2 linked regions of the Ovis aries genome follow. Each later gene encodes a partner of the first gene's protein in a complex. Links are inferred from orthologs where the notes say so. Each region holds a gene or a part of one and is shown in the gene's direction. Other genes may lie near its edges.

Evidence for each region.
Region 2: the proteins of XIRP2 (region 1) and NEBL are in contact, whole or in part, in a crystal structure (PDB 4F14), measured with the Homo sapiens proteins. The link is inferred for Ovis aries from reciprocal best matches to the Homo sapiens genes XIRP2 and NEBL. Residues at the interface, in NP_689594.4 of Homo sapiens: Pro2420, Pro2421, Pro2422, Thr2423, Leu2424, Pro2425, Lys2426, Pro2427; in NP_006384.1 of Homo sapiens: Tyr963, Asp964, Tyr965, Asp969, Asp971, Glu972, Ile987, Asp988, Asp989, Gly990, Trp991, Met1004, Pro1006, Asn1008, Tyr1009.

What each region holds. Positions count from the first base shown.
Region 1 is NC_056055.1:142,302,491-142,319,394, reverse strand, and holds the start of XIRP2 (xin actin-binding repeat-containing protein 2), read left to right. Parts: upstream 1-6,636; 5' UTR 6,637-6,789; intron 6,790-16,904.
Region 2 is NC_056066.1:21,594,198-21,610,971, reverse strand, and holds the start of NEBL (nebulette), read left to right. Parts: upstream 1-9,100; 5' UTR 9,101-9,182; coding exon 9,183-9,263; intron 9,264-9,352; coding exon 9,353-9,424; intron 9,425-16,774. UniProt on the Homo sapiens protein: Binds to actin and plays an important role in the assembly of the Z-disk. May functionally link sarcomeric actin to the desmin intermediate filaments in the heart muscle sarcomeres.

The sequences.
Region 1 (16,904 bases):
AGTGGGAGACAGCGAACACTTGATAGTTTAACACTATCCCTCAAGTTCTTAATTTCTGATCAGCATTGGAATGTCCATTTCATTATTATTTTGTAATTTTGATTTTATTGAAAAATTCTCTATATTTTTATATACATCCTGTGATATTTCCTATATTTTCTTAAATACATAAATCATGATTGTTTTAAAGTCCTTATTGTCTAATTAACCAACTATTAATATCTGCTTTTTTCCTTTTTGCATGTAGAGACAATGTTCTGTCTCCTCGCATGCCAGGTACTTTTTTTTAGTTGAAAGTCAAGCATTGCGTTTTCAAAAAACAAAGGTATACAAATCTCCAGATGATATACTTTCATTAGAGAGGTTAGCCTCTCCTCTGCTAGGCAGACACAGCAGAGGAAGTAGAGGGGCTGACTACTTTAAGCTTTTATTGAGAATCTGTCAGAGCCTATCTCTGCTCTACTTTTCAGAGGTCTTCAGCTTGGATATGTAGTGACACACCCTGTGAAGCTTCTGAGTTTGGTAAATTGAGGAAGAGAGACTGGCTATTGTTAAGTCTATTCAAGTCATTAATTTTATCACTCTATGCCTAAACAGGTTCCTCCTTTGTTGTTTCATCTGTCTTCCATCTTCTAGGGGCTGAGACAGGATCCTCACTCAGCTCCAGTTCAGTCTGCACTATCAAGCACCCCCAGAGACAAAGCAGTTACTGAGGATTATTTAAAAGTCAATTCCCCTTTCCTTTGAGGACTTTGAGCTGTCCCCTGTCCTCCTAGTAGATCATGAAAATGTAGGCTATTCCACTTTTCTGTGTTTGGGCTTATAGCTATAGCCTGCTATCCTGTGAAATTTTGAAACTTAGCTGATATCTTGAGGAGTAAAATAAATCTGAGGTCCTGCTCCTCTCCAGTTTTATTATCCCAGTCTGGTGCAACTGCCAAAACTATTGTTGTTCTTTTGTCCCCCAGCCTCAGTGCTCTTCCTGACTTAGCCTGGATTGTCAGCTTCATCTGCATCTAGAAATGAAAAATAACCTCCAGGGATAGCTTCAGATTCTTAGCTCACATTTGAAAAATCATATTTCTTGAAAGGTACTCCCTCTAGCCCTTATTGTTTGGCTGATCCTTGATGCCGTTAATATACTTTTTTTGTAATTGATTCAACTTTTCTAATTGTTCTCAATGGGAACATTGCATGCTGTCGCTCAGTCATGTCCATGGCTTGTGACCCTTATGGACTGTAGCCAGCCAGGCTTCTCTGTCCATGGGATTTTCCAGGCAAGAGTACAGGAGTGGGTTGCCATTTCCTTCTCCAGGGGATCTTCTCAATGTCCACTCAGCTATCATTCAATCTCACAAAAGTGTTTTGCAAAAGAGCAGAGAAAAGAGATGAGATGCCATATACAGAAGCATTTATGCTATCGCATCAGGAGAAAAAGGAGTCAGAGGACTACCATATTACGGTATGGAGGTCGAAGAGAAAACCCAAAAGGGTACATAGACAAAGGAGCTTTAAAAATGCAGGAGACAAAACCAACTGAGGATCCATCAGAGTTTCTAGAAAGAATTTATCAAACTTTTAGGTTCAGCTCAGCTTAGTTCAGTTCATTTCAGTCACTCAGTCGTGTCCAACTCTTTGTGACCCCATGCACAGCAGCATGCTGGGCTTCCCTGTCCACCACCAACTCCCGGAGCTTACTCAGACTCATGGCCATTGAGTTGGTGATTTCATCCAAAATCTCTTCCTCTGTCATCCCCTTCTCCTCCTGCCCTCAGTCTTTCCCAGCATCAGGGTATTTTCCAATGGGCCAGTTCTTCACATCAAGTGGCCTAAGTATTGGAGCTTCAGTTTCAGCATCAGTCCTTCCAATGAATGTTCAGGACTGATTTCCTTTAGGATGGACTGGTTGGATCTCCTTGAAGCCCAAGGGACTCTCAAGAGTCTTCTCCAGCACCACAGTTCAAAAGTCTCAATTCTTTGGCCCTCAGCTTTCTTTATGGTCCTACTCTCACAACCATATGGAAAAACCATAGCTTTGACTACACTGACCTTTGGTGGCAAAGTAATGTCTCTGCTTTTTAATATGCTGTCTAGGGTGATCATAACTTTTCTTCCAAGGGGTAAACATCTTTTAATTTCATGGCTGCAGTCACCATCTGTAGTGATTTTGGAACCCAAGAAAATAAAGTCTGTCACTGTTTCCACTGTTTTCCCATCTATTTGTCATGAAGTGATGGGACCAGATGCCATGATCTTAGTCTTTCGAATGTTGAGTTTTAAGCCAACTTTTTCACTCTCCTCTTTCACTTTCATCAAGAGGCTCCTCAGTTCCTCTTTGCTTTCTGCCAGAAGTGTAGTGTCATCTGCATATCTGAGGTTATTTATATTTCTCCTGGTAGTCTTGATTTCAGCTTGTGCTTCATCCAGCCCAGCATTTCATGATATACTCTGCATCTAAGCTAAATAAACAAGGTGACAATATACAGCCTTGATGTACTCCTTTCCCAACTTGGAACCAGTCTATTGTTTCATGTCCAGTTCTAACTGTTGCTTCTTGACCTGCATACAGATTTCTCAGAAGGCAGGTAAGGTGGTCTGGTATTCCCATCTCTTGAAGAATTTTCCACAGTTCACTGTGATCCACAACATGATTATAGGTGCTACATGCAAACAGACCTGGAGGTCCCTGAGAATGTAACGATGATAAATATGACCCTCATCAGGCAAAGTGCCCCAGATATTTTAAAAATGTAGAAGTCATATTGTGTATTTGAAACGAATCCTTCTCAACTAGTAAGTGTTGTTTCGAAAGTATTCAATAACAGGGAACAATGGCAGAAGCAAGGAGATGCAAAACCAAACTCAGCTTTTCTGGTAGCCACACTGAAAGCAAGTAACCTAAAGGGAGGCTTCCCAGATGGGTCAGTGGTGAAGAACCCACCTGCTAATGCAGAAGATGCGGGTTTGATCTCTGGGTCAGGAAGATCCCCGGGAGGAGGAAATGACAACCCATTCCAGTATTCTTGCCTGGAGAATCCCATGGACAGAGGAGCCTAGAGGGCTACCGTGCTTTGGATCGCAAAACAGTCAGACATGACTTAGCAATTAACAACAACAAACACTAGAAAATATGAAAAAATAATTTTATTTATGTATTTAAATCAAATATATTTATTTCCTGAAAGGGCCAAAAGCTGGAAGTTTGAAGAAATATTATCTTGAATTAAACTTACAGAAACAAGTGAAGAAATTTATCACTACAGTGGAATGAGAAAGCAGGCAGTTTTGAGTAAGAAGAGAAAGTACAAAGCTACAAGTCCTGTCTTTGAATAACTGACAATATTTTGAAATACTAAAACCATGATAGCATCATTAGGTTCTATATTCAAATACAAAAGTAAAGATTATTATACTTACCTTGTAGGTCAATCTCCTCATGACTAAAATCAAACTGTTGTGATGATAGATCTAGTGCTATTTTCTTAACCATATAGCAGGATAAAGTCATAATAATAATAATGATAATTTTCAAATAAACATTTTTCCTAGATTTAGACTTTCACGCATATTATATACTGTTGTCGTTTAGTTGCTAAGTTGTGTGAAACTGTTTTGCGACGCTGTGGACTGTAGCCCACCAGGCTCCTCTAGCCATGGGATTTTCTAGACAAGAATACTGGATGGGTTGTAATTTCCTATTCCAGGGGATCTTCCCAACCCAGGGATTGAACCCACATGTCTTGCATTGTTAGGCAAATTCTTTATCACTTAGCCATTAAGGAAGCTCCTGAGTATTGCACACACACACACACACACACACACAGAGTCATTTAATCTTCACAACCATCATTTAAAGTAGGTAAACTGAGTTCCATTTAGTTATAGAGAAGTAAAGTGAAATATAAACAATGTATGAAATTTGTCAGGTCACAGAGTGTAGTTGGTATCAAAGCTATGTTAAAATCCTGTGCTCTAAATCAGCATAGAATTGTCTGCAATAATAGGAATGTGCTATCACTGCAATGTCTAACACATAGCCACCAGCCACATGTAGAAATTAAGTGCTTGAAATGTGTCTAGTGCAAGTGATGAAATAAACTTTCAATTTTATGTCATTTAAATCAAGTAAACTTTTGCTAGCAAATTTGGAGAACTCAGCAGTGGCCACAGGACTGGAAAAGGTCAGTTTTCATTCCAATCCCAAAGAAAGGCAATGCCAAAGAATGCCCAAACTACCGCACAATTGCACTCATCTCACATGCTAGCAAAGTAATGCTCAAAATTCTCCAAGCCAGACTTCAGCAATACGTGAACCGTGAACTTCCAAATGTTCAAGCTGGTTTTAGAAAAGCAGAGGAACCAGAGATCAAATTGCCAACATCCGCTGGATCATCGAAAAAGCAAGAGAGTTCCAGATAAACATTTATTTCGTCTTTATTGACTATGCCAAAGCCTTTGACTGTGTGGATCACAACAAACTGGAAAATTCTGAAAGAGATGGGAATACCAGACAACCTGACCTGCTTCTTGAGAAATCTGTATGCAGGTCAGGAAGCAAGAGTTAGAACTGGACATGGAACAACAGACTGGTTCCAAATAGGAAAAGGAGTATATTAAGGCTGTACATTGTCACCCTGCTTATTTAACTTATATGCAGAGTACATCATGAGAAACGCTGGACTGGAAGCAACACAAGCTGGAATCAAGATTGCTGGGAGAAATATCAATAACCTCAGATATGCAGATGACACCACCCTTATGGCAGAAAGTGAAGAAGAACTAAAGAGCCTTTTGATGAAAGTGAAAGAGGAGAGTGAAAAACTTGGCTTAAAGTTCAGCATTCATAAAACTATATCATGGCATCCAGTCCCACCACCTGATGGCAAATAGATGGGGAAACAGTGGCTGACTTTATTTTTGGGGGCTCCAGAATCACTGCTGATGGTGACTGCAGCCATGAAATTAAAAGACACTTACTCCTTGGAAGAAAAGTTATGACCAACCTAGACAACATTACTTTGCCAACAAAGGTCTGTCTAGTCAAGGCTATGGTTTTTCCAGTAATCATTAATGGATGTGAGAGTTGGACTGTAAAGAAAGCTGAGCACCAAAGAATTGATACTTTTGAACTGTGGTGTTGGAGAAGACTCCTGAGAGTCCCTTAGACTGAAAGGAGATCCCACCAGTCCATCCTAAAGGTATTCAGTCCTGAGTGTTCAGTGGAGGGACTGATATTGAAGCTGAAATTCCAATACTTTGGCCATCTGATGCAAAGAGCTGACTCATTTGAAAAGACCCTGATGTTGGGAAAGATTGAGGGTAGGCAGAGAAGTGGGTAACAAATGATGAGATGGCTGGATGGTATCTCTGACTCAATGGATATGAGTTTGGGTGGACTCCGGGGGTTGGTGAAACTTTGAATGATCACATGTGTCTAGTAGCTCCCACACTGGACAGCACAGCTCTAAAATAATTAAGTTGTATTGGCTTCTGGCCCTGAAAAATCTGTGGGTGTACAAGAACACTGTCTCAGAAGCTTTTTCTTAGAGTTAATCAGTTGGAATATCACTCCTTGACCTATTTTTAATAGAAAGTACATGTATATGGAATATTGTATATGGGAAAGTGTAATGTATATACTAGTCTTTATTAGTAAACAATATGAATAGCTTACTTGTAAGCATTTGTATGAAATAAACAATATGTAAGTCAAGTGATTTCTTTAAGTCAAAGTGTGATTTTTCTCTTTATTTGGGCTTCCTGTGAGGCCGTTAGTGTACACAGTAAACCTATCAGAAGCAAGTAATAGAAGAGAGGAAAGATAGAGGATGCTGCCTGTTTTATGTTTACTTAGAAGGTATTAGATGTTGGCATTATGGAGCTCAACTGCAATTCTAGGCGAGTTCTACTTCCTTCCGGGTCAGGTCTCCAGGTTGTGCTGAGTAAGGAGAGTGGTAGCAAAGGACACCTGATATGATTCTCTCAGGAGCATGTGAGGTGACTCCTTTCCCTGGCCTGCTGTTCCTTCTGGCAAGTGCCCTTTATTCTCTCTAGAATGCCTTATCACTCCTTCCTCTCTCACTTTCTTTAAACAAGAGAACACTTTCTTACTTACAAATATACCACAGCGGTGTTTTGCTTTGTATGTGAAGCCTCAAAACACAAACCAATATTTTCAATACCTAAGAGCTGTTTGTAAATAAAAACAGGGTTTCTGCTTCCTGAAAACCCAAATTCCATCATAATAAATTAGAACATTTTCTCTATGCTTTATTTTCTTTATGCTTTATATTCTTGACTCTTAAAATGTTGAAATTATTAAAACAAATGAAACTAATTCAAGGACTGTCAGTCCTTTCCCTCATCGGTGCTAGTTATTTTTTAGGCTTTGTTCGGAAGTGGAGAGTTGGCTTGATGGTCCTGGCTGCAGAAGGAGGTTTGATTGACTGCACATGTGTTAATACCATGCATACATTACTGAGGAACTACGAGGCAGAGTGCCCTCAGAGACACACTTCTGGAAAGAGTGGTTGACTCAGGCCCCACCTATACAGAGCTCAGTTCCTAAAAATAGGTGCTAAGTTACATCCTTAGACGCAGGGCTAAAATAAATTCAGCCGTCCCATCTACTTGCTTGATAGACCCTTCAGTGGAGCTGGCCTCCACTCCACCGATTGCTTTCAGGGGACTGGGAAATTTGCTGTACAAAGGAGGAAACTAGTCTGTGAAGAACTGTAAAGATATATGATATTTCCACGAACTTGGGGTTAAGTCTAAATATTGCAGAAGGTATGTGTTACGTTGTCATTGATAAATGTCTACTTCCATAGCTATAATATGTTCTTACTGATTGCTTAAGATCAGGGAAGACCACAGGTCTAACTGAACTTGTTAGCAGAGGAAATATTCAGTCAGATTTTGTTCTTATGACAATATTTAGCATTACTTCAGATTATTACATTTAGGGCTTCATCTATTAATCTCTTTACAGATTAATAGTTAGTCCTTTTTTATTTTTAGTATTAAAGAATAATGAGCCAAATTTGATAAACAGACATGAGTGGAAGTTATACTTCAGTTTTTAGCTAAAAGAGAAAACTGAAAAAATTAGTTCATCTTTTATGAGCATAAATTGATCATCTATACAATAAATATGTTTAAAACTCTAAACTATATTTCTTAAAATTTGCTGAGGGAAAAAGAGAACTTAAAATATTCTCAACTGTTGCAGCTTACTCAGAGAAATCTATGAAATGTATTCTTTATGCAGCCTTAGTTTGATTTTGTACTTCTTGCCCCAACCACAGTCTCATCTCCTCTGGGAGTATTACTGGAGTAAGGATTAAAGAATCAGGTTCTTACATGTTTTCCAGAATTAAGAAAAGCGCAGCCAGTCGGATCTGCCAGCCCTAATTATAGTAACTACAAACTTAAAGAGAGAAGACAGATTTTACTTTAAAAGTAGCATGCCCTGTATACTGTTTCAAATGAATTTTTTCTGTCTTCAGTTGCCTGTGAACACCTTAATTTGGTCCTGTTGTGCCTTAAATGTTTAGAATGTTAGAGACTAAAGTGATTTGGAAGAGACATTATAACAGATTCTCTTAAATTAAGACACCAACTAAAAGCAAGGACACTTTAAGATTACATAATACAGGGTTTAAATTTAGCCAGCTGGTGCTGAACTGAAAGATATTTTATTTTTATCAGAGCTCTATTTGGTCACTGACAAGTTGGTGGTTGTTTGAATCATTTTAAAATTTTATGTACAGAGTGCCAAAGGACAAGTAAAATATTTACCTCAGCTACCTTCAGAGCCATGAATTTTAATATGAAAGAGCACCTGTTTTGAGTTTTAGAAGCTATTACCATTGAGTTTTAGAAGCAAAAATACCGGATCAAAAATGGGAAAGTCTTGAATTCTATGCTTAAGTATTTCTCTACTTCTCTGCCTAATCTTTGATTCTTTTACCTTTTTTATTGTTAATATATAAACAAACAACTAGACCTATTTTTTTAAGTCAATCAGCAGTTCAAATGTCTACAATATGGCAAAGTGCCAGCTGTTTGGGGAAAATGTAGTCTGGAGTTTGGCATGAATGTTTCTGCATGAAGTACTGGGCATCTTTGATACAACTGCCTGTAACCACCTGAAAAATTAAAAGAGGCACTGTTTAATGATCACAGAGAGCATCACTTTAGAAAATGTCAGGTGGGCCTCAAGTCTTCAGCAATTAAAGAGGGAGACAGGGTTGGTTCTCTTTCTTCAAGTTGACTTTTGGGTAAAAACACCACAAAGTTCATGTATAATTTATTGTTGTTTACCATGGATAGCTGTCTGCTAGTCAAGAATTTTGCCTCTCACATTTACCACAATTGAAAAGCTTCTGCACATCAGTATTCTTTTTTTATTTGTCTGGTAAAATATTACTTACGATGAGACAATTTGGGGTTGGACTCCTGTGATAACCTTGAAACAGGGAATTGACACTCAGTTCTTCTCTCACTTTCTCTCCGTCTCTCTCCTCTCTTTCTTCTTCATGCCTATACACAATTCTGGGCAGTAAGAGACCATTTTGTAACACTTATTTGTTAGCTCAAAGTCATGTCTAGATTCAGTAATTTATAGACCAGGGCAGCAACTTAATAAGTGCCTGGCAGTATAATTTCAAGACTTCTGATTGAACAGTCTGTGGGGAACAGTACTTAATTGACAATACGTTGTCCTTTTTGTTTGTTTTCCACCTCCTTTTTTAAAAGCATTTGAGTTACACTTTGAAATTTAATTAAATTGTAATTTGTTTTTTCCTGCTTCTGAAACAACCACTTGCTCATTCAAATTACAGTTTCATCCTTTGCAGAGTGTGGTTAACTTCAGACTTTTCTGATTCAGGAATAAACTATTTTAGAACACTGATTTATTCAATCTTTTTTTAAGATTTTTTTTAAACATGGGCCATTTTTTAAAGTCCTTATTGAATTTGTTATAATATTGCTTCTGTTTTATATTTTGTGTTTTTTGGCTGTGAGACATGTAGGATCTTAACTCCCAACCAGGTATCAAACCCACACCCCCTGCACTGGGCCACCAGGCAATCCCCCTAGGTAAATGGTCTTCATGTGACTGTGTAAGATATGATATTGTTGGTTTTCCTCCCTTATATCAAATGACTGATGTTTTCTAACACCAACCAGTTCTCCAATTCTCTGATAGCAACTGGGTATACAACAATTCACTTCAGTACTCATACTAACTTCCAGAGTTAGAGCAGAACAGACAGGTTGTGCCCACTTTAGCCTTGAATTTGGGTTACAACTCAAGAACAGTCAAATGGAAGAGATTTATAGAGTAATGTGTGTGTGTGGAGATGGTGCACAGAACTTCCATGCCCTCTCTGGGCTCACCATCAATCAACATGTTCACCAGCCTGGAAGCTCACTAAATGCTGTTATTTAGAATTGAGATTTCTTTATGTGGGGAAATTGGCTGAATCATGGCCATTGGTAATAGGATTCAGTGCCTAATCCCTCTCCCTCTTTAAGTAGAAAGTAGAGTTGAATATTCCAACTCTTTAATTACTCAGTTGGTTTTTCTGAATGCAAACCCTGTCCTGAAACTATCTATATTTCCCCCCACAGCCAACAGGAAGCCAGGAGTTACCTCATTAGCTCACATACCAAAGTGAAGTAGCTCAGTCGTGTCCGACTCTTTGCGACCCCATGAACTGTAGCCTGTCAGGTTCCTCCGTCTATGGGATTTTCTAGGCAAGAGTGCTGGAGTGGATTGCCATTTCCTTTTCCAGGGGATCTTCCTGACCCAGGAATTGAACCCAGGTCTCCCACATTGCAGGCAGACGCTTTACCATCTGAGCCACCAGGGAAGCCCTGCTCACATACCAAAGACACCATCAAATTCCAAGAGTTTTAGGAGCTCTACGCCAGGAATCAGGGAAACAGGCCAAATATATTTTTTTTAATTATTTCACATATGTCCCACAATATTACTACTCTGTGAAATGCTACCTATGAACTCCAGAGTGAAATATTCATAGTATTTATTTTCCTAATCATTGAAATCTCTTTTTTTGCAAATTTAACCTGAGTATTTTTCTATTTGTACATTATAGTCAAGAAAAGCACAAAGAACAGTGACAATCAGACAATGCAAAGAACAGATATTTTGCTTTCTTAAAAGAGTTGAGAGTCAGCAAATTCAGTGAGTTATTTGTGTCAGTTGGATACAACAAATGACAGCATGGCTATATTTAATGACCCCTGGGACTCCATGGGCCTAAATGGTGGCGCAAAAATAATCTGGCACTGAGCAGTGCAATAGGTAATCCAAATTCCTGGTAGAGTGGCTGTAGTTCTTAAAATGTCACAAAGAATAAAAGGAATTTGTCACATAGATAACACAAAGAACCCCACTGACTTTTTGACTTAGCACTTTTAAGTTCTGGATAAGAAAACTGAGGCACAGAACATTAATTAGTAACTTACAAGATTTAGGCAGAGAGAAGTAGAAACCTACTCTCTTGACTGTACTTTATTCTGCAGAGCTTCATGAAACCATCACTCCATCCTCACTCCACCCCCACAACTTGGAATACATTTCAAAGTACAACTTGATAAAGTCTTTTTGTCCCAGGTTATTATTTTTCTTTTTATTTTTCATTTCATATTTCTCTCAAATTTAGGGTAAATTATGGAAAAGCAGACCTGATCCACATATTTATTGACAACTTAATAAATGGCGCTTGGTTTATTTTTTAACTTTACTGTCATCTAAGTTTGCTTGTCATCTGTGCTGGATGAACTCTTCCCCTCTTCCCCAGCACTTCCAGCCCATGTCCCCTGCCCTCCACCATCAGCCCATCATTGGACACATCATTTTGCACTGTTGTTTTTGGCAGACCTTCAAGTAGGCTTGTGTCTTCTACATTTCTCTAATTGTATGCAGGATATATCCTGTTGCCTGGTGAGCTGAACACTTTAGATATGTCTGGCTGTTCAAAAATAAATAATTGCCAAATTGCTCCAGGCATACATATGACTTAAAATGAATATAATACTAAAATAATTTCTTTTAGGAAATTTTTGTTTGTCAAGGACCCAATTCCACCCAAATCTGAATATATCAGCATCTGTGTTTCTAAATGCATTTACTTGGTAGTCAGCAACATAGAAAAGCTAAAAGAAAAAAAAAAATCATGTCACCGTTAATTTTAGAAGCTAAGTCCAGTGTTATAAATGGTTTCAAAACATGTCAATGCTTTTCATGTTAACTTTCACAAACAGGAACTATACATATAAAATAATGTTCAGATAATAATTACGTTATTTTCTTACTTAATTCATAAGAAGTTAGTTGCACTGAAGTAAGATGTAGGTGGATCACTTTATTAAGTGGTGGGTTTTTTTAAAAGCTATATATATGAAGTTTTGATGAGTAGAGTCACATTTCCCCACTGGATTGCATTAAAATCCACAGGTGCTTTATCACTACCTCTGTTGTTGTTGACTGTTTTCAGTCCATGCAGTCATAATAAGAATTCAGCTTTATCTTATCTAACCACTAAGCCTTTTTGTCAAGTAATTAGACTTCAGAAGTAACTACAGTAAATAAGTGTTCCAAAGAAACAGGGAGAAATCTTTTTGCAAAGCTAAGGATCAGCTTTTAATTTATTTGTTGTATAAGTTAGAGTTTTTTATTGTCAACACAAGCACCTTATTATCAAGTTGGAAAATCCTAGAAAGAGATAAAAATAAAATGAGTTCATTCACATTATTTAAGGGTGGTCAATTCCAGCTCCAAACTTTGATTTACTGCCTCTGCTTCTGTTGGATCCTGAGCTAGACTCCTGAGTATTGCATAGGATGAAAGTCTGCTGTGGCAACTGGGGTGCAGCCCAGCCCAGGTTCCAGTTGGAACACAGGGGCTAGAGCTAGAGGTGCCAAAGGAAGAGCAGTGGATGGCGATCAGCCGCTTGGTCGTTCCCTCTGTCCTCTGTGCCACCCCAGACTGCTCAGAGCAAGAACAGAACCCTGTTTTACAGCCCTGACTTCTGCAGTGGAAACTGTGCTAGCCCTCAGGATCTCAGAGGACGCAAAAGTGCTTATTTTGAGGAATATAACTGTATTATGCATGTGTGCTTCAGTCACTGACTTGTTCTGGAATGGGAATGATTTCAGGATTCATCATCCAGATAATTTCATTATCCAGAATTGGGCAACAACCACAAGTTTAACTCTATAAAGTATCAGAGAAATGAAATTTGAAAGGCAGCCATGTGTTTGTATTTAAGTTGCAATCTTTTTTTTTTTTCTGTAAAGATCTAGTTCAGTTATTTCAATTGTTGGCTCAAAACTACAATTTATAGTTTCTAATAGTTCACCCTTTAACTAGAAGCAACAAATTACCTCAAATTTCAATTTTCACTGCTTTTCTTTTAATTCATCATTTCAACCCAACTGGTCCCAGCTTCTCTACTATGTCATTTTGTTATACGGTTACCATCTCTTTTAATTTGTGTTCCATTATGATCATGTATATACACGTATGTGTATATATATGTATGTGTATGTATCTGTATGGGCCTCCCCAGGGGCTTAGTGGTAAAGAACCCACCTGCTGGTGTAAGTTTGATCCCTGAGTCATGAATATCCCCCGGATGAGGAAATGGCAACCCACTCCAGAATTCTTGCCTGGAAAGCCCCATGGACAGAGAAGCCTGGTGGGCTATGGCCCATGAGGTTGCAAAGAGTCAGACATGATTGAGCAACTGAGCACGTGTATATGTATACATTATTATACACAAGGCACAGTGTTACCCATGTCTCCATATTGCTTTCCCTTTAGTTTATGTTCTCAAAGTCCATTTAGATGTTAAAAAAAAAAAGAGTAGTCTTCAAACAATAACCAATAACCACAATATCATCTATAGTGACACTTTACCTTTCATGTAACATTGCTTTAAAAACTGCTGTTTTGTAAACATTTGTACTGATAAAGTACAAAGCTATATTTTTATAAAAACTATAACAATAATAAACCTTTTCTATAAGATTATTCTCCCATAGATAGCTGTATGGAGTTGATATATAAAATTTCATTATTTATAATCATCTTTGTATTTTGAAATTAGAAATTTTTTTGAAAATTTTCCAAAATTAGAAAGATTTCACAAATGATGTGCATTGTTCTCTCTCTCTCCCTTTCTCCTTCCTTCTTTTTTATTTCATTTCTCTTAAAGACCTGTGGAATATATTACTTAACCCTAGCTCTATCACTATCCTTAAGATTTGTGGAGTGTCCTCAGTTTACCAAAATCACAAGAACATCACCTTCTAGAGCCAGAAGAGATCTCAAAGGAAACCCACATAATACTTTACTAGGAAACCAGAAAATGCTGTGTCACATAAACTCTAACTAGTTGAGTACAGACTTTGAAACAAGACAGTATGGGTTTGAATTCTGGCTCTTAAACCTAACCAACTGATTGATCCTGGGTAAATTACTTAAATCCATCTCTGTGCCTATTTCCTCATCTGAAAATGGAGATACTAATAGAGTCTATCTCATAGATTACTGTTTTGAGGATTAAATAAATTCATATTTGTAAAATGTCTAAAACAGTAGTGCCTGGTATACAGTAAATGCTACATGAGTTTTGGCTATTATTATCATCATTATTATTACTGTCTAATATATGGGGTTAATATAATAACATTTATGTCTTTCCCAGAGAACAACTTAAGAATTTAAAGTACCAAGTTATCCTAGATGCTGCAAATTCAAAATAACACCATACTAAATAAAAACGTTTTTAAGAGAGAAAATTATCTACCCATTTTAATAGGTTGTTCTCTTGTTAAAGGCATCCTTCCTTTTCAAAGGTGCACTCTTGAGCTCAAATTAAATTTCTGTCCTCTTTGGAGTTGTAGAAAGCTATTAAATATCATTTTTCTATTATAATCATTCCAACACTTGAAACTAATAACTTTTTGGTTATCTTCAGTGATGTCAGTATCACATTACTTCAAGAAACTGAGCTCTTCAACCACTTCAACCATAATGCGTCTGTCTCCTTTCTGATGGAGCTGCTCATAGCCACACATTGGACCCCCTCATTACTTTGACTTAGTTCTTAACTCTCAAAATACTCTTAGATCACAGTCTTTTTTCTTTTAGCTGCAACTAACCTTGACCCACAGCATAGTGTTCCCATCCTCAACACATCCTGCCCATCAGCCCCTCTGCTCTTTTGCCTCATCTCTCTGCATTTTGAATCCACTCAGTGTCTGAGTAAAGATGGAGGGAGAACTCTTACTTGGGAGGAAAGCATTGAAAGATGCAGCTGTGGGCACCTGTTCATCAGTAGAATCTAAAGCAGAAAAGGCCAAGAGGAATCCAATAATGGAAGAGGAAGCAAAACTTTATGAGCCAGTAAAATGGTACAAATGTATCAGATTTGATGGATGAAGCTAAGCTATAAAAAGAAAAATAAATCACAAGGTCAGAAATAAGGAAAACTAAGAACAAGACAGGATGGAACCTAGGATGGATTAGGGCACACATTTCAACTGAGGCCAAGAACAGTTCAGCAGTGTTGGTGGCCTGGTGTTAAGCACTCCTGACTCCATGCTTCAGGCATGGGTCTAAAGCTTAAAGGACCCATGCCAGACCCAGCGCCCACTCAGCCTGGGCCCATTGTCAGCTGCAAGATTAGAGGTTCCATTGATCTCCCATTTCATTTGTCCCCACATTCTTGAGCTAAATATACCTTATCAAAAGCCAGTTCAACATTTTCCTCATCATCTGATATATTTGCCCCCATTCCCAGGTTGTGTGTGTGTGTGTGTATATATATATATACATATATATATATATATTTTTAAAGGTTTGTGGTTTTGCATATATGTTAATACCCAACAATCATTTTATCCACTTTTAGTTGACTTCATGTCACATTCACCACTATTCCTGACAATCCCAGATGTTCTCCATTGTAATATACAACTGGAAAATTTGAAAATGAAAAGACGTTTGTGAGTAATATTCTTTTTAAAAGTCACATTGAATTTTCAAAAGTATGGCAAGGTTAAGTCTGAAATAGTTACTAGAGATATACATTGATATAATATGGATGAAACTGAGAACTAATAGAATGTGTGTGGTAAGACAAAAACAGAAGACTGGGGATGGAACCCTGAAAAATGTATGTGATTGGGTGCCAAGAATTGTGTGTGTGTGTGTGTGTGTGTGTGTGTGTGTTTCAGGAGACTGGTCATGATAGATGAGTATTTCTTCTGTCTGGCCTAAGCTACTCACCAACTCCACACTCAGTTTTAAGATTTTATAAAGCACACTGCAGAGAGTGCTGCAAAGCATCATTTTAAATTCCTTCTCCTGAGATACTTCCTGCAACAGCAAATGTTAGGCTCAGAGAGTTTCATGATGTTTTCCTCAGGTCCTGCATGGCTGGTGAATGGGGCCTGGGGATTTCTGCCCCATATGTTTTCCTTGGCAGGCTTCCAACCCAGAGCTGCACTGGGAGAGTCTGAAAACCTCCTGAGGTCTTCCTCTTCGATCTCATAAAGCAAACAGGATACTACTTGTGATTAAATAGTCCCCTAAAGAAAAGTGTGTGTGTGTGTGTGTGTGTGTGTGTGTGTGTGTGTGTGTGTGTATTAGCACTTACATGTTCTATCTGTAGTCTTGTACTTATCCACTGGAATGAGGAAGCTAGTTATTTTCTTCTGGACCGAACTGTGATGGAGATATGAATATGTCTGAAATTTTTTAGCTATAACACTTCTCTGCAGATATGTAATAACAAGAGAATTTCTGACAGAAATTAAACTGGGCAGAAAGCCCAAAGTTGACTTGTTTCATTTTCCAAACACACGATTTTATGCAGTTTTAATTTTCACCTGCTCATGTGGTGTCTTGCTGAGCATTTTGGGAGATGAGCTGGATTTCATTGTGGGAGACTCACAGGTTCACAGGCAAGAAGTTTATTTTTCCTCCTTCCTGGAAGCTCTAATCCCAAATTTCACATCACTGCTCTGCTTAAATAACTTCTGTTACAGAATTTGGAACTTGTTTTCTACTCTTTAAAAAGAACTACAAGAGAAAAATTAAAATCTGTCAACAGGAACCCTAAAAAGATGTGCACTGAATTTTGCAGTATTGTTGCAAGGCAAATTCATTCAATAAATGCTTACTGGGCAAGTAATAATGTTATATGTTAAATACCTGTGAAGCTGGCCATATTCATCTCAACTGTCAATTGCTTCTTGGCAATCTAGGAATTTTAGTTCCTGGTAATAATAAAAATTGCATATAACCTGTTCTTCCAAAAACAAAAAATTTTTAGCAGCGGCTCTGGCACTCATTATTAGGAAAAGCACAAGAACATCATTCTTACAAATGAACTGTATTCCTCCGATCCCCATATAAAGGCCCATGGGGATTGTTTCTGGCCACTGTTTAATGACCAGACTTTCACATTCACATTGTAGGTGTGGCCATTCTGTGAACTGATGAGACTAAGAGACTCTTAGACTGAAATGACGGTAAGCATGGTGATGTGCGCTCCTAGGAGACTTCAGAGATGGAGCCTGATGCTGAGTCCCTGTCTAGTGATTGTTAGTTCCCGTCTACAGCCGCAGTTAAATGTCTAGATTTTTAAATAATCTTTACAAATAAACAAGGAGATACTTAACTTTATAGTCTGAGTTCCTTTTCAGGTAAGCTATCTTAAAACAGTAGAAGGTTACACTAAGTTGAAGTGACTTGTCCAGCTGCCTAAGGTTTTTTGGTGCCTAAAGGGAGTAGTCTTGGAAAGTGAATCTGTTTGAAAGTTGTGAAAGCCTAGCTTCATGTGGACTCTTACAAAGAA
Region 2 (16,774 bases), on another chromosome or scaffold:
ACAACAATTTAAACTTCTAATAAAATACATTCCCATGTAAAGAACTCTGATTTGGATAGTTCTGGAAACTAAAATAGATTGTAGTTTTTATGGCTTGCTTATTAGGATTCTGAAATTGTCATCTTAAGAAGTTTAATTTTAAATGTACTTTTTTTTCACATCTAAGGTATAGATGTGGAGAAGGAAATGGAAACCCACTCCAGTATTGTTGCCTGGAGAATCCCACGGATAGAGGAGCCTGGTGGGCTACAGTCCATTGGGTCACAAAGAGCCAGACATGACTGAGTGACTAAACAGCAAGATATAGATGATCAAAAATGAAAAAAAATAGCTAGTGATTTCCAGTCTTATAGCATCATGGCACAGCTCTCTTGTCCACTTTGGAGCCACTATCCAGTAGGGCTCGTCTGAAGTGAGATGTGCTGGATTGAAACGCACTGAATTTCAGAATATAAATAGGGTAAAATATCACAATACTTTTTACACTGATTATATGTTGAAAGATAAAATTCTGGGTACATCAAGTTATAGAAAATATGTCATTTGTCAATTTAATCTGCTTCTTTTGTGGCAACTAAAATACTTAAAATTACATATGTGGCTCCCATTACAATTCTGGACAGAGATACTCCAGAGAATGATTTTGGAAAGAGTTAAAACAACATAAATAGACTTTGCCTGGGAAAAGTCACTTTATGAGCAAATCAAAAGTAGGCCAAGCATGCTGGGGTTATGAAGAAAAGTCTTGCATACACAATTTAAGAAAAAAAAGGTAGATGGAGAAAACCACTTGTAGATGTAACTGGTGTACAAAATGATAAAAAATTGATAGCTACAAAATTATTTGAACATTGATAAAAAGCTTTTAAAAGCATGCTGCATTCTAAAATGCAGTTTTATTGTTTAATAATTTAAGTATAGTTGATTTACAATATTGTTAGAAAATGCAGCTTTTTAAAATCCAACAAATTTATCATAGTATTAAAAAGATATACTTTAAGTTGAATATACTAATGAATATAGATTTTCACATGTATATTCAGTATCTGAAATATACTGGAGATATATACAAAAGCTAGTACAGTGCATTATAAAGTATATAGATGCTCATTACATACATGTTGAGCAAATATGTAATTGAAATAGGAAGTGGTAGAGATTTTTGTTGATGTTATTCACCAACATTATCTGAGGATGTTAAAGTAGTGCCAGACCCATAGAATGCACACAAGAAATATTTGTGAAATGAATGAAGTTGGACCCATGCACACACACACACACACACACACACACACACAAAATCATAGAGAAAATAAAGTCCTCAGAGAGAAATTAACACCAATATATGTTAAACTAGTTCTCACTAAAAGGTACCAATTGTTTTAAACATCACTAACTTTATAGCAAGGAGATCCAACCAGTCCATTCTGAAGGAGATCAGCCCTGGGATTTCTTTGGAAGCAATGATGCTAAAGCTGAAACTCCAGTACTTTGGCCACCTCATGCGAAGAGTTGACTCATTGGAAAAGACTTTGATGCTGGGAGGGATTGGGGGCAGGAAGGGAAGGGGATGACCGAGGATGAGATGGCTGGATGGCATCACTGACTCGATGGACGTGAGTCTGAGTGAATTCCGGGAGTTGGTGATGGACAGGGAGGCCTGGCGTGCTATGATTGATTCATGGGGTCGCAGAATCAGACACGACTGAGCGAATGAACTGAACTGAACTGAACTTTATAGCTGTCTTAATGATACAGTTACTTTAATTATGGTCTTATTTTGATAGTGTCTTATATTTTGAGTTACACATGAAGAAAAATCCATGAAAACAGTTGGAACAAAACTCGGGACTTAGTGCTTCAAAAGTTACAAACTTGTAAGGGTCAGTTGTGTTGTTTTCCTGGTCTTATCCAATAATGAAATCATGGCTTCAGGATAGAAATATTTAGCCAGCTTAGGTACAGTAATTGGATGCTTAAGGTTCAAGTAGAAGTATCAATAACGCTTGTATAGTAAAAAGTAGAAAAAAAGTGCATTTTAATGATAGAATTGTAATTATAGCAATGTAGAAGTGTGAAACTTATAAACAACATTTAACATAATTTTCATTTAATTGGGGGGATATATAATAAAAATATATTTCCCTTACATATTTTTCTTCATTAGGTACAATTGGGGATAATTTTTTCAGTATAAATCTTCATAAGGTCCAGGTAAGAGGAATATTTCAGTTGGCCAGTGATAAAATGAAGGGGTAAAAATTAAATTCAAGGCACCTGAAGGTGTAAAGTAGGTGTAAAGATGTTTCTGTGATTAGTTGACCAGGGAATGTGTTATTTTAAAAGTCTGTGACTCAGACCTGCTTACGGTCACGGTGTTCGGTAAGTGATTCCCACACACACACTACATGGAGTTCTCCCTGATGCCCTCATCTCTCCCCGTTTTATGCTCCAGTGACATTGAAATCTTGGTTCCTCTGGCTTTATCTCTGGGTCTCTGCAAATGTTCTTTGGATGTCTTCCATATACCCCATTTCTTTGCCTAATTCTGGCTTAAGTATTCTCTCTAGGGGGAGATCTGCCCATTACTTGGTTTCTGCTAGATCTTCTTGCTCTGAGCTCATGCAACTCCCTACTTGCGTTTTAGAGACATTGTTATACTTTCTCCAAAAAGGGCTGAATTGTTTCACATGTGTTTACACAAGTTATTGTTCCATTGACTGTTTTCAATATGGCTTCAACTCCAAAGCCTTTCCCTTTTTCCTTGACTATAAAGACTTCCTCATTATTTCCACGTTTCAATATATGATTCTTCCCGTCTGGAAACATGACAGAAACAGCTTTTCTCCATAAATGACTAGGAAATTATTTACTGTGTTTTGATAAAATCCTTAAATCATGTAAGCAGGACATGCTATGAATTAATTGGGAGGACATCTACCTCTGAAGGGTTAAAGAATTGCCAACACTGATCAAGCCCACACTCTGGCTCTTGATACGGTGTTGACAGCCAAGCAAAGAGCTTCTTCAATAAATCCACTCTCATATTCAAGTTTTTCCAGATGTGAGAAGTAATTAAGTTTTTGCATTTATTGAAGCCTTGTATGCTTTTCAAGAGGAAACTGGCAGCTGTGAGGAATTAACTCTGCTTGAGTGCATGTGTGTGTTATGTGTGTGTGTTTTGCGTGTGAATGTACATATATACAAGCACACATGTGGCATTTGCCAATAGTCAAATGAGATCAGACCTTTTTAAAAAAGCAAAACAAAACAAAAAGCTAATTTTCATATACACCAAAAAATTTTATAGCTATAGCTCACAATTTAGAGAATATAGCTTTATCTAATATGACTTTATTAATTTTTACTTTTACTGTATGTCAAAGGGAAGAAATAAAATTATTTGCATCTGTTAAAGGGTTTTCTTAAGGAAAGGTGAAACCATGATTCTCATAAAACATAAAATGAACACATTTCAAAGATTTTAACTCATTAATTGAGGACACCAGAAAGATATTACAGTAGGTTAAAAGGTGAATTTGAAGAACCAAACATAAATGAGTAATGGGGAATGATGAATTGAATTTACAGATAGCTATAAAAGGATCTATCAAGAAGCCAATAATCAATTACCCTTCCCCAGGACACAATTCATTTGCATTTGTATGGCTAAAACATCATTAGCATTGTTATCAGTTTTCAATAATTTATGGTGTGGGTAAGTAGTTTAAAAATAGTGAAAGGCCAGATTAACCAGAAGGTAATGCTAGATAAGACAAGATGTAATTTTTTTTCCCCCACCAATTTCAGAGTCTTTCACCGTTTTCCCCTGACACCTCTCACACAAAACTCTAGGAAAGGCATACTTTTTCAGAAGAGTCAAGATGGTTTTTTTTCGTGCTTGACACTTTGGTTCTGATGACAAGCTACACAGAAGCCATTCAAACCTTGGGCTTCTCTTGGTGGAAAGGATTTCAGAAGTGCTTATGGTTTTGGCTTTGTTGTTATTAAATTGGAACAAATAACTCAAGTAAGTAGCAAACTGAACCAAAGTCTTCTTTCAGTTCACTGGGTACTTATGTTAATGGAGACTCTGAATAAGAGAACTCTTTTTTTTCCCCTCTTGTCAATATACTTAGAAGAATAGATATTATAATTTTGGCATCCCAGCCATCCCCAACCTGCAAATTGTTGTGCCAAAGATTATTTGTGGTTTCTTGTTCGTCTCTTCCTCCAACACAAGTGTAGATGTGTGGCTTTCATTTGTGAGTAGGATCTATATTTGTAAAAATAGGAAGTTCAATACAGAAAAACTATTAAATCTTTCTTTTAAATTAAATCTAATTTTAGCAGAGTTCCCTGTGGTATCCAGTAGGTCCTTGTTGGTTATCTATTTTAAACATAGAAGTGTGCACATGTCGATCTCAATTATGCGGCAGCGTGGATAGGACGTGGCCAAGTCGCTCTGCTGTGCACCTGAAACCGTCACAGCGTTGTTTATCAGCTGTGTTACTGTTGTTGCTGTTTAGTTGCTAAGTCATGTCCGACTCTTTGTGACCCCATGGACTGTAGCCCACCAGGCTCCTCTGTCCGTGGGTTTTCCAGGCAGAATGCTGGGGTGGATTGTCATTTCCTCCTCTAAGGCATCTTCCCAATTCAGGGATTGAACATGCGTCTCCTGCATTGGCAGAAGGATTCTTTATCACTGAGCCACCAGAGAAGCCCCATTAATCAGTTATACTCCAATATAAAATAAAGGTTTTTTAAAAATCTTATTTTAATGGCAAAATTGGTAATGGTGACAATTATTCAGTTGCTTCGCATCCTTTAGATTTCTCATTAACAAACAGTAATGAAATAGCCATTAAAAAGGAGAGGATAGACTTAATGAGTGTTAACTGTAAAAACAGATTGGGCTAATAATAAGCAGGACTCTTCTCTTTTATAAAGAAGACGAATTGCCCTAGAGAGCTTATATTTCTTGTTTTAAGAAATGATTTCTCCCCCTCATCTCTTAGTAAAGTTCTCTTTTAGATAGATGCCAAATGGTGAAGAAACACATAAGGCAAAAGTAAAATAATCAGGGATTCAACTGAGAAGCAAGAACCTTCTGGGGATAGTCATTTAAAAAAAAAAAAAAAAAGCAAAATGAGTACTTGAAAAGACTGCCAAGGCAGGCAGGCTTCTCTCTCATTTACCATGTAGGTGGAATATGTTATAATAAGATATGTTGAATTATTAATTTTTAAACTGGAAATATTCAGTTTATCTCTAAATATCCCTCAACACAGAGCTGAATCTCAATCTATTTCAGTTGTTTATTATGGAATTTCATTTGCAAGTCACTCATCACCATGTTAGGGAAGAACCACATGTTCCATCACTGCAGAGAACAGAAAGGAAAAAAAAGTGAAATAAATATGAAACACTTCTCAAAATTCAAGAGATTCTTATTGTATGTGACCTTAAAGAACAAGAAGACAGACACTGCCTGACTCGTGATGATGGTGTAGACTTGCTTCCTTGGTCAGGGTCTGTGTCTCCAGAGACCTGAATTACCCCTGGGACCTGTCAGTTGTTATAGAAATAGATTTGCTTATACATAAACGTCAAACCATAAAAATATGGAAGACTTCTGTACTACAAATACACAAGTTAGCTCTTGTCTTTGGGTTGTTATGCTGCATGAAGACTTCCTGGGCTTTAAAAACATATTGAAGGTTTAGAATTTACTCTTTCAAATGAGATGATCTTTCGATATCAAGTTCTTTCCCTGGAACTGTGTACCTTTATTTGATAGTTGAAAACTCTTATGTTTGTAAGGGGCTTTCCTATTTTTAGGTACTTTCCTTTTATTAACTTTGGGCAATTCAGTTTTTCTGCTTGATAATGGAGACTTTGAGCCAGAGAGGGATTAAATAATTTTCCCTAGAGGGTGTGGGAGAGCTGGACCTGGACCTCAGGGGGTGTTTGCAGTAGATAATATGATCCCACCCTTGGTATCACCCTCAATCAGGGAGTGGGTAGAGTAGGAAAGTAAAAGGTAGATGACAGAAATGAAATGTTCGGTAAGTAAAAGGGCTTAACAGCTATACAGATATTCCCTTTTGGCTCAGCCTAAGGTGAAAATATGTATTAAAATATAGCATTTAACATGGTTTAAAAAAAAAAAAAGAAAATTGGGGAATTTTGAAACATGATAGCTATCCATGAAGAATACTTCCTTCATATCCCCAAAGTCCCATTTTGAAGCTATTAAGAGACCTTTACTGTGATGAAGTTCAGGGCTTAAAATGTTTAACAGAAATTTTTACATGAATTCTATATTATACCTACAGGTAAATGGAAAAAAATGCATTCAGTCAAAAGTAGTAATGTATCTAGCTTGCCAAACATTCCATTAAGGAGTACCTACAGCAAGTCTTAAATGATTTTTTAAAAAAATTTCCCACCTCATTTTAGCACAAATTAAATTTTACTCACCATTACACATCTAACATCAAATTCAGTGCCTGGAATAACCACATTTCTTTGAATGAATGAACATAGGGCTCTAGTTAAATTTTGGTCCTAATGCTCCACTAGATAACTTTGTGAATAAGACAAATAATTTCTGTTGATATCAATTTTGTTCTGTATGAAAGAAAGGGCTTTAGCAGGATAGACTTCTTAAGGATGCCTATAGTTTTAAAATTCTGGTTTTAAAACCTTACATGGAAAATTTGTGTTCACGTTGTATATGGCATTTGTTTTTGATTTCCAAACTTTTGTGCATAATCTCAACAGATTATTTTCTTCCAGCACAGTGGAGAGACAATAAGAATTTGTTGTATGATGGAAAATGAGAAAATAGCAGCCACTGAAGTCTGACCAAGGTAACTCACCATAGAGAGGAGGTGTCACCATGAGCTTTGCAAGTACTGTCACCTCAAACACTAGCCAGGCAATGCATCTTAGACAGCTTTGGCAAGATTTTCTTCCTATGCTTCTAGAAGTTTGCAAGATTCCTATTTCCAAATAAAGATAGTGTAATATAGTTTCTATAGAATACTGGAATAGTCTTTTGGCAGGGGCTTGAGGGAAACAAGTAGAGTCCACACATTCTTCTCTTTTATGAAACAAATATGACATACAGAGAATTTCCTCATAGAATTCTCTACGCTGGCATGACATGGCTATGATTTTATCTTTATTTATTTGTTTATATTTTCTTGACCATGCCATACAACAGTTGGGATCTTAGTTCCCTAACCAGGGATTGAACCCTCACCCCTTACATTGGAAGCATGGAGTCTTAACCGCTGGACCACCAGGGAAGTCCCCATTACTATGATTATAAAGTTAAAGTTTCCAGTTTCAGAACCCTTGGGGCATTTCTTTTTGTCATTTTGCCGGTACGCAGGTTATATAATGCCACTAAGTTCACATTAAAAGTCACTTCATAAAATGATCAACTCTTAATAGAACACAACCATTTTTTTTCAGAATAAAACAATGTTTCCCTAAGTAATATTTCACAGAAGAATGTTAGTTTTCTGCAATATCAAATGTCAATAAAAGAACAGATAGGTAGGTAGGTAGGTATGTAAGTAGGTAGTAGATAGATTAGATTAGATGAATAGGCTTTCGTTTTGGGGAATTGCTGGGTTAAGCAAACTTAAATAGTTTTCTTGGTTATGGGTCTTCTAAGGTGTGGTGTGGGAGCTTCTAAAGTGTCATTATGCCTTGTGGATCTATAAGTGGCAGGGGTATAGATTAGTATACAGGTTTCCCCAGACATGTTTGTTAAAGAAACCCCCTTTTCCCCTTCAGAGTATTCTGCAGAATTTTAGCCTCATACAACACAATTTGACATCTGTACATGATGATTGTATAGAATTTTTTTCTTTTCAGAATTTTTAGGCAAGGCCAAGGCAATTTACAAAATTTAAAACGAAATATGATACTAACACAACATTGTAAAGCAATTATACTCCAAAAACAGAAAAAAAAACCCCAACAACTAGATATGCTATTAAGAAAAAAACATTATTATACTTTTCTGCTTGGAATGTATTTTTTGATTAAAGTTATGTTTTATATCATTTGTTTCATTATTCACCATAAGGTACTTTTATTATGTCCCACACTGATATGCTATGGCTTTATAAACATTAATTTATCCTAGGATTTAAAAAAACAAATTGATAAATTGAGCTGTATAGTCTTAGAACTACCCCAGTTGACATTAAAGGATTTGTTTTGAGAAATACATTTTAAATTATATAACTGGTGATACATACTGCATTGTAAATATTGTTATAGTTTATTCTTCTAAATCTTTCCAAGCATGTATTACACATTGAGAAATATACAGATATCTAGTGAAATCTGTAAAAATTGACCCTATAGGCAGAATTGAAAGAGGGTACTTATTATTTTTTGAAATAATGATGTTTCTAGAATTCTTAAATAATATATCAGCCTATGTTAACTATAGCTTCTCATGTTTAATGATGTTTACAATTAAAATAATACAATAGCAATGTATGATTAACAACCATAATTAACTCAGAATAGATTCTTCGAAGTGGTTCAAAGGGCTTTCCATGATAAATTACTAGCCTTTAATCAGCTAATATAAAGTACTTTTTTAGACTGAAAAAGTATATATATGTCTCATAAAAATTTTAATTTAACTTAATGAAATGAGTTTAATGATCCAGCTTCACCATACCAGCTCTGGGGTATGTCTGACATTCCAGTGAAAGCTTTATTTAGATGGAGTTGAGGAATCTTTGAGATAGTAGGCTTTCCACTGTGTTATCTTGAGTGTTATAGCTGAGTGGTTTTCCCAGAATCTCTAAGTCTTGTTCAAACTATTTTATGAATGAATTGAATTCATTAAATGTTAATAAACTTGTCTCAGTTTAAAGAATGTTGACTTGAAAAGTTCACAAAATTGAATTTTGCTTATTAAAATATTCTTTCCTCTTATGAGGCTAGTCCTTGCCAGCCTCAGTGATCTGGTTCTATCCACTCACACGCAGCTGTGATAAGGAGGGTGAAGAGTGAGCTAAATAGGGAGGAGGCCTGGGCAAGGTCATTTTTGCCAGAACACAGAGATGCCAAGATCTCAAGGGTGCTGCAGGATATAAAAAGGTGCTGCACTTGTGAATTTTATATATATATAAAGAGTAAAAATGAGGGTTCCTGTATTTGAGGATGTGAAAGATGAAACTGAAGAAGGAAAAACAGGGGAAGAAGAAAATGAAGAAGACAAGGTGGGTGAGAAGGCGCTTGCTGAGGCGTGGTGTTCATTCCTTAAAATTGATGATGAGGAAAATGTTTCCTTTCCTTTTTCCCTGGACAGGTATTCTTTAAGCCTGTTATTGAAGACCTGAGTATGGAGTTGGCCAGAAGGTGCACTGAACTCATTAGTGATGTAAGTGGCTTAAAAATTTTTATCTGTTTTGCCTTGCGTATGTGGCATGATTATATCATAGAATCAGAGAGCTGAAGAGAAAACCCTGAAATCATTTATTTAAAACCCAGTGATTTTCCCAATCATGGAACGAAGTCCAGAAATGTTAGATGGTTTTCCCAAGGTCACCTAGACAGAGAATTTCTGTGGGGACATGTCTCCATGTTCTTAAGCCAGAATCTTGTCCCTTCTTGAACTTCACTGTCACTCTGGCATGAAATCATAAAGCATCAAATTTCTGAGCATATTCCACTGAGAATACAAAGCTTTTTACTATTTGTGTAATGAGGTAATTTGTTTTGAGAGGATCTCTATCTAAATGAATGGTTTTTAGCATTTTGAGTAGCTTTTATGGAATCTGATGAATCCAGTAGTTTTCCAGACCAGAAACATGAATGTTTCTATGTGCATCTAACATTTATTAGCAATTTAGGATTCACAGTTTACTGAACTGCATATTGAGAACTCTGAACTGGATGTGGATGATACTATTAGTGAAAGGAGCATTGTTGTTGTGACTTTTTTTGTTAACTGGGATCAGTTTATGTTGTATATCGAGGGAATCCTAGAATTACAGAATTAATTGGGTTTCCCTGGTGGCTCAGATGGTAAAGCGTCTGCCTGCAGTGCGGGAGACCCGGGTTCCATCCCTGGGTTGGGAAGATCCCCTGGAGAAGGAAATGGCAACCCACTCCAGTACATTAATTAATATGGGTTATCTCTGGGAGATAGTGGAGGACAGAGGAGGCTGGTGTGCTGCAGTCTATTGGGTCACAAAAAGTCAGACACAATTTGGTGACTGAACAACAACAATCTATATATTTCTGTCTATCTGTTTCTCTATAGTAAATATGTAAACTAGGATGGCAGAAGCAAGGGAAATGTGTTCTTCTCGTGGGATGAGAATTTAGATGGTCCTCACTAGAACAGTTAGAAGAGAATTGCTGGTACACAGGGAAGATGGCTCATGAAGCGTGAGCAGGTGCCTGTCTTATCTAGAAAGGGGAGCAGAGAACTGCTTGTTTCTGCTGTTGTTCTTAAGCAAGATGATCAGAATAGTTTATAGACTTTTATTTGCAGAGGAAATCAGTCCTGGGCCATATAGTCAGTGTTCTCTGAAATCAGCCTGCCTGAGTAGTTTAACAGTAACCCTGGGCAGGCTGGCAGGACACAGTTCCTCAAGGGAAGCATTTAAAATACTAAGATTAAGAAATAATAACACATTTGAAGTGTTTAGTAAATTGTCTGAAACATTGTGAGCAACAAGATGCTAGCTGTTATTAACAGTTGTCTCCATAAATTAATTTTGTATCCATCCAATCACATTTTATATATGATTCTGTGCTCCCTTCTGGTTTGTTAGAAGAGCCAGGATGGTGGAAATCAGACTCCTTCCTGTATCCTTGACATGTACTGTAATTACATTTTAAATTGAGTGTTTCTCTGTGCCATTTCTTAATATTTGTCACAAGCTACTATATGTAAAAGTTCTTTGTAAGCTATAATAATAATGAGATGATAACAGCAACAACAGTGATAGTAAAAGCAGCAACAGCTAAGATTTATTGAGGACTAAGTGCCAGGTAATGCAGCTTGTGAGGCAGGCTCTCTTGTGTTCCTGTTTTAGAGGTGAAGGACAAGAAGGCTCCGTCTGAGAGGTTAAGTAATTTTCTTGGATCACACAGTTAAGTAGTGGGGAGTAGGACTTGAACATGAAGCCCTGTCTCTTGGCCAGTCTGCTATGTTATCTGTCCTATAGCTTTCATGCAGAGTTTACCTTCGATTTATTATTGTGTATTACACAAATATTAGTAATGTGACCATTTAAAACTTCAAGTCCTGTAGCTCTGGAGATAGTACCTCTTTCAGTGTTGTTTTGTTTGAGGTGTATTTGTGGCCGAGTCAAGTTATATAAACTATTAAAGTGACAACTTTAGTTAGTAAGTGATAAGAACATTTCTCAGTGACTTCAAAACCAATCTTATAGTGAGGGGCGATGGCCTTTACTGTTTTGACAAAGCAAAAGCCATGTTATTTCTCTCTCATGTAGGTAAAGTCAAATATGTGAGAGTAATTTCTGTTTATTATAGGTTTATATTGCATAGCCTGTTCTACTTAAATATTTAGATCATATTACTGTGGCCTAGTTTATATCTGTGTACATGTTTGCATTTTGTTTCCAAAGAGAATTTCATACTTATTAAAATACTGGTTCAATTTTTGAAATTTTTGTATTTACCAATGAACAGTCTGAACAATTACTTTCTTTGTTTCTTAAAAAAAAAAGAATGAAGAGTTTGTACAGTCATTTTTAAATCAGATTTTAATTTACCCTTTCTGGAAGAGTTTCAGGGATTGGACTGAATCAAATTTCTGTTGTTTTTAGAAATGTAATTAAATAGTATTATTAAGTAATAATTTGTTCATTCACACTTGGTGTCATCAGTGTTTTTATATGGAGCAGATTAACTTAAATTTGAAATTCTTCTCTTTGTTGTGTTGTCTGCATGACTAGATGGTGGTCTAAAATGTATATTTGAAATTGCATCAATACGGAGATAAAAGCAAATATAGAAAGGACAAATTGAGTTAGATTGGAGCTCCAGTCAAGTCTTTATTACGTCTCTGATAGTGTCCATCTGTTCGTGCTCACATTTAATTTAGTCCACCAGTCTTTGCCCCAGTCTCAATCTTAAAGACAAACCTTCAAGGACTTTAGTTTTGTTTTATAATCCTTTATATCCCAAGGGGGAAATCTACGTGTTTACCTGAGCCTTTTTGTTTGTTTGAAGGCAGTCTGTTTGCAGCTTGTCACCAGGTGAGTTTGGGTTTCTGCTTGCCTGCTTTGTAGAGCCCTACGTCTTGGAGCTTTAAGACGCTGGCTCACGTTTTCTGATTTATATTTGTTTAGCTGCGTCACGTCTTTGTTGCAGCGTGTGGTATTTTTCACTGCAGCACATGGACTCTCTGGTTGCAGCCCGCAGTCTTAGCTTCTCCATAGCATGTGGGGTCTTAGTTCCCTGTCCAGGGATTGAACCTGCATCCCTTGCATTGCGAGGCTGATTCTTAACCCCTGGACCACGAGGGAAGTCCCAGGCTCACATTTTCTTGATCAAATCACACAGCTAGTGAGACACTGACCTGGGATTTGGAACAAGGTCTGTCTGACTCCCCAGCTATGGCCACCACGATGTCCTTTCTCTGCTGTTGTGTGCCAGGCACTCCACATGCAATACCGTATTTCATGCCACAGTGAGCTAGTGCCATAGGCCCCGTGAGCCCGAGTTCAGAGGTGGTGAAACCCGGCAGTGAGTAGCTTGTCCATGGCCACCTGACTAGTCAGGGATGGGGATAAGAATCAGGTTTAGATCTGGCCAAGTCCAGTGCCTGGCTGGTAGCCCCTCATGACTCTGCCCCATTTTCCGGATGAGAAGGTTGGTTTCATGGATTTCTCTTCATGGCACAGTCTCTCTGCATCCCCTTCATTATCATTCTGATCATTCCTCTCTGGACCTCTTTGAGGTTTCATGTGTCTTTATCAGGATATAATAACGAGAACTGTGCGCAGAGGTCCAGATGTGGATGGCTGTGATTATGAGTAGGGAAGCATGCTGTTTCCTGCCTGTTTTGTGATGATATTTACAGTTTCTTGGACTAAGGGGGAGGGGGGGGGTTGCTGCAGAAAGCCGTTAGCTCAGCCTCAGTAAGGACAGCATCCTCAGCCATTTCTAGTCCTAATTTCTGACTTGTAGCTGATCATGTAGGGCCCCTCCTCTTTTAATAGTCCGAGTGATTCTCCCTTGCTAGGGATGATCTAATCTGTGGTGGCCCATCCTCTTGCACAGCCCTTTGAGAGCTTCCGCAGTTCGTCTCTTGCAGTTTACCATCTCCCTCTCCATAAGAGTGTGGGCTCATCAGCAGACCTGCAGACTTGGCTGCATCATGCCCCTGCCAGATAATTCATTAAGAATGGCCTAGTGATAAGTCCTGGAAGGCTTGTACTGTTTAGAATTCTCCATAGAAAGAAATGTCTGTTTTTCAGATCAGATGGCTTCATTTTGGGGATCAGGATAAGGCATTAGAAAAAAATTTTTTTTTTTTTTTTTTGCCTTGCCTAGTTTCTGCTTTGCACATGCTCTGCCCATACTGTGGGGTTTTCCCTCTGCATAGCTCACTTCCCAATCTTGAAAGACACCTGGTTCTCTGAGACAGCCTTTTAAATTTTCTCTTAGCCATGTAATGCTTTTTATTTTCCCAGATATCCTCTCTTTGGTATTTTGTCCTGTTACTCAGCTATCTAATCAATTCCTTGAATAAATCAAACCCACTGACTACACTGAGCAGTCAGCATCATGGATCTGGGAGCCTTTTGTAGGGTGGTCATAAAAAATAGTAGGTTTAAAGGGACCCTTTGTATGTTTCTTGTAAATTAGGATAAAGAGTCTCTGCAGAGCAAGTGAGCCCGCATCTGCCAGAAGCCTCTGACTCAGTGTTTTGATTCAAACCTTTTTAGGGTGTTCATTTGTGTGGCAGCAGGAAGAACATTTTCCAGGCAAGTGAACATTGTTTATTGTGGGTAACCCTTCCCGATGCTGAAAACATGGGATTCCATGGTTACCCCTCCAGAGAAAGCTCCAATGGTGTTCAGTAACCTGGGAGAGCAGCCTTGGCTCTGAGCGCCTCAGTTAACACACAGTGCTGGAGCCGCAGTTCTGTCTTCCAGGGTTCATTGCACTTAGCCAATGTGGTTCTATTTGTGAAAAGACTTCCTAACTCCTTCTGGTTAAGAATGCTTGTAAAAGGAAATACCCTCTAACATTTCTACATCTGTCTTCCGCTTTTGGCCATTAGCTGGTCTCATACTAAAGTGAAAGAAACTAGACTAAGAAGAGGAAGCACACTCAACTAATTTAAGTTGAACTGTAGTTGAGACATGTTGGGATTAATGGGTGAGGTCAGCAGAAAGTAAATTATTTAGGGCATCTTCTTAACATTAAGTCATCAACTTTGGATTGTGTGTTGGTTGTGAGTGCAGATGGCTGCACAGAACCTGGAGATCCTAGCACAGGGGCTTAGCAGATAGCTGACTATTTTTTTGAGATGAATCCTGGATGGAGGGGCTGCGGCCTTGATGTTATCAGTCTCTCAGGCTCCTTTCCTTCTGCTCTGCCATCATTATGGTGGTTTATTGTCTTGTGATGGCCTGGTTCCTGCTGTTTTCCTGTGGTTGGGGAAGACAAAAGGTGGATGGGCGAGGTGTCAATGGACTGTGTCAGCAAGTCTCTCCCCTTGTATTTGCTTCACCAGTAATAATGCTGGGGAGACTTCCAAAATATCTCATGGCCAGAGCTGGGCACCTGTCCTCCCCGACCGATCGCTGGCCAAAGGGAATGAGAAAGCCATGCCTGTCTCAGAGCAATTTGTCCTTTGCGGCTACGGTAGGGGTGTATCTCCTCCTGTAAATACACTTGAGTTCTACTGTTAGGAAAGAAAGGGATTGGAGAGACAATCTATCCAATAGATGGGGCATCTGTTAGATTTGGAATTGACTGTCTACTCAGTGATTTTCATTTTACCTAAGTTTTAGTATTAATCATCGACGTAGTTCCCTTTCATCTATTTTTTCCAATTCTCCTAGTATACGGAAGCTACTAATTCGTGGTATTCTTTATATAAAAATTTAAGATCATATGCTTACTGTCTCTCATATTGTAAAATTCACTAGAAATGTAATATGCGTGACAATAAACATCTAGTAGGTGTATGTGTGTGTGTGTTTATCTTTTAAATAAAGACCAAAGAAAGGAATGGAGAGCACACTTAAAACTGAACTATTTGCCTGCATAGCAGAGGAAATAAATACTTCACCTTTATCCCTAGCTCCTGTCCTGAACATTCTGCTCAAGTCAGAGCTTATCAGAGGCTGTAGCCACAGCACATACCGCTGCTGTGAAGAATGTGAATGGGAGAGGGAAGAGATGGTGGCGAAAGATAAAAATAATGAGCCAAACTTAAGCCTAATGATAGCTTATTTTCTCTCATGCTTAATTATATAACGGAGATACTTTTTTTCCTCCTTATGATCAAAATAGCCTACTATTTATCATAGTGCCATTAACGGTTTAATTACTAGTGACTGAGGACGGTGATTTGCAGAGACCTAAAATTATGGCTAATCTCTGAGAAGAAAAAAAAAAGCAATTTAGTGCTCAGATAAGATAAATATGTTCTAATGTTGATTTCATGAATAAAGCAAATGTTTAATGTGGTCAGCATCTATTATCTGAGTCATCGCCGTGAAATATGGCATTTAAAATAATGTTACTCAGTATGTTTGTGGCTGGTTATACCTCAGGTCAAATAATGCCCCTTAGGTCTGTTCAAATATGGTAAAATCTCTATGTCATGTTAAAGTGTAACATCAACATTAGTCATGTTCTTTAAGAACCAGGTAGTGTATACCGTTAAACTTCACTTTTAGGCTGTAATTAGGGAGGCCATGTAATTTATCATCTGAACTATGACATTTTTTTCAGTCTAAGTATTTACAGTCTTGGGCAGATAAACATGACTTTATTACAGGGTGATACAACTTTCAGCAAATTACCTTCATCCTCTCAAACAGTTATAAGTTTTGCCTGCCCAGTTTTCGGAGAAGGCAATAGCAGCCCACTCCAGTACTCTTGCCTGGAAAATCCCATGGACAGAGGAGCCTGGTAGGCTGCAGTCCATGGGGTCACTAGGAGTTGGACACGACGGAGCAACTTCACTTTCACTTTTCACTTTCACGCACTGGAGAAGGAAATGGCAACCCACTCCAGTGTTCTTGCCTGGAGAATCCCAGGGATGGGGGAGCCTGGTGGGCTGCCGTCTATGGGGTCGCGCAGAGTTGAACACAACTGAAGGGACTTAGCAGCAGCAGCAGTCCAGTTTTCAGATTGGATGGCAATTAGTGTGACAGCGGGATTACATTTCAGGTCCCTCTCTATAGTTCCTGACTTCTTTTTGACTTATCTGCCCATGCGGGATCTTCTCACAGAATAATCCTGCCTCTCCTGAGAGGAGAAAGAGTGATTCCTCTCACTAGTGAATTGGAAAGAGGAAATGAGGATTGCTCAGCTAAGCCTTTCTGGACTTTTTCCCATTTGTCTGCCTGCCACCACACGGGGGCATTCTGCAGTGATTTCCACAGGTGACAGGCTGTCTGGGTGGGTTCTATGTTTGGGAGAGGGGAGGAGGTTGGGGAGGCCTATGGGTTCTCATAAATTGGATATTCAACCTTGATTTGAGCATAATTAATTAGTAACCAGA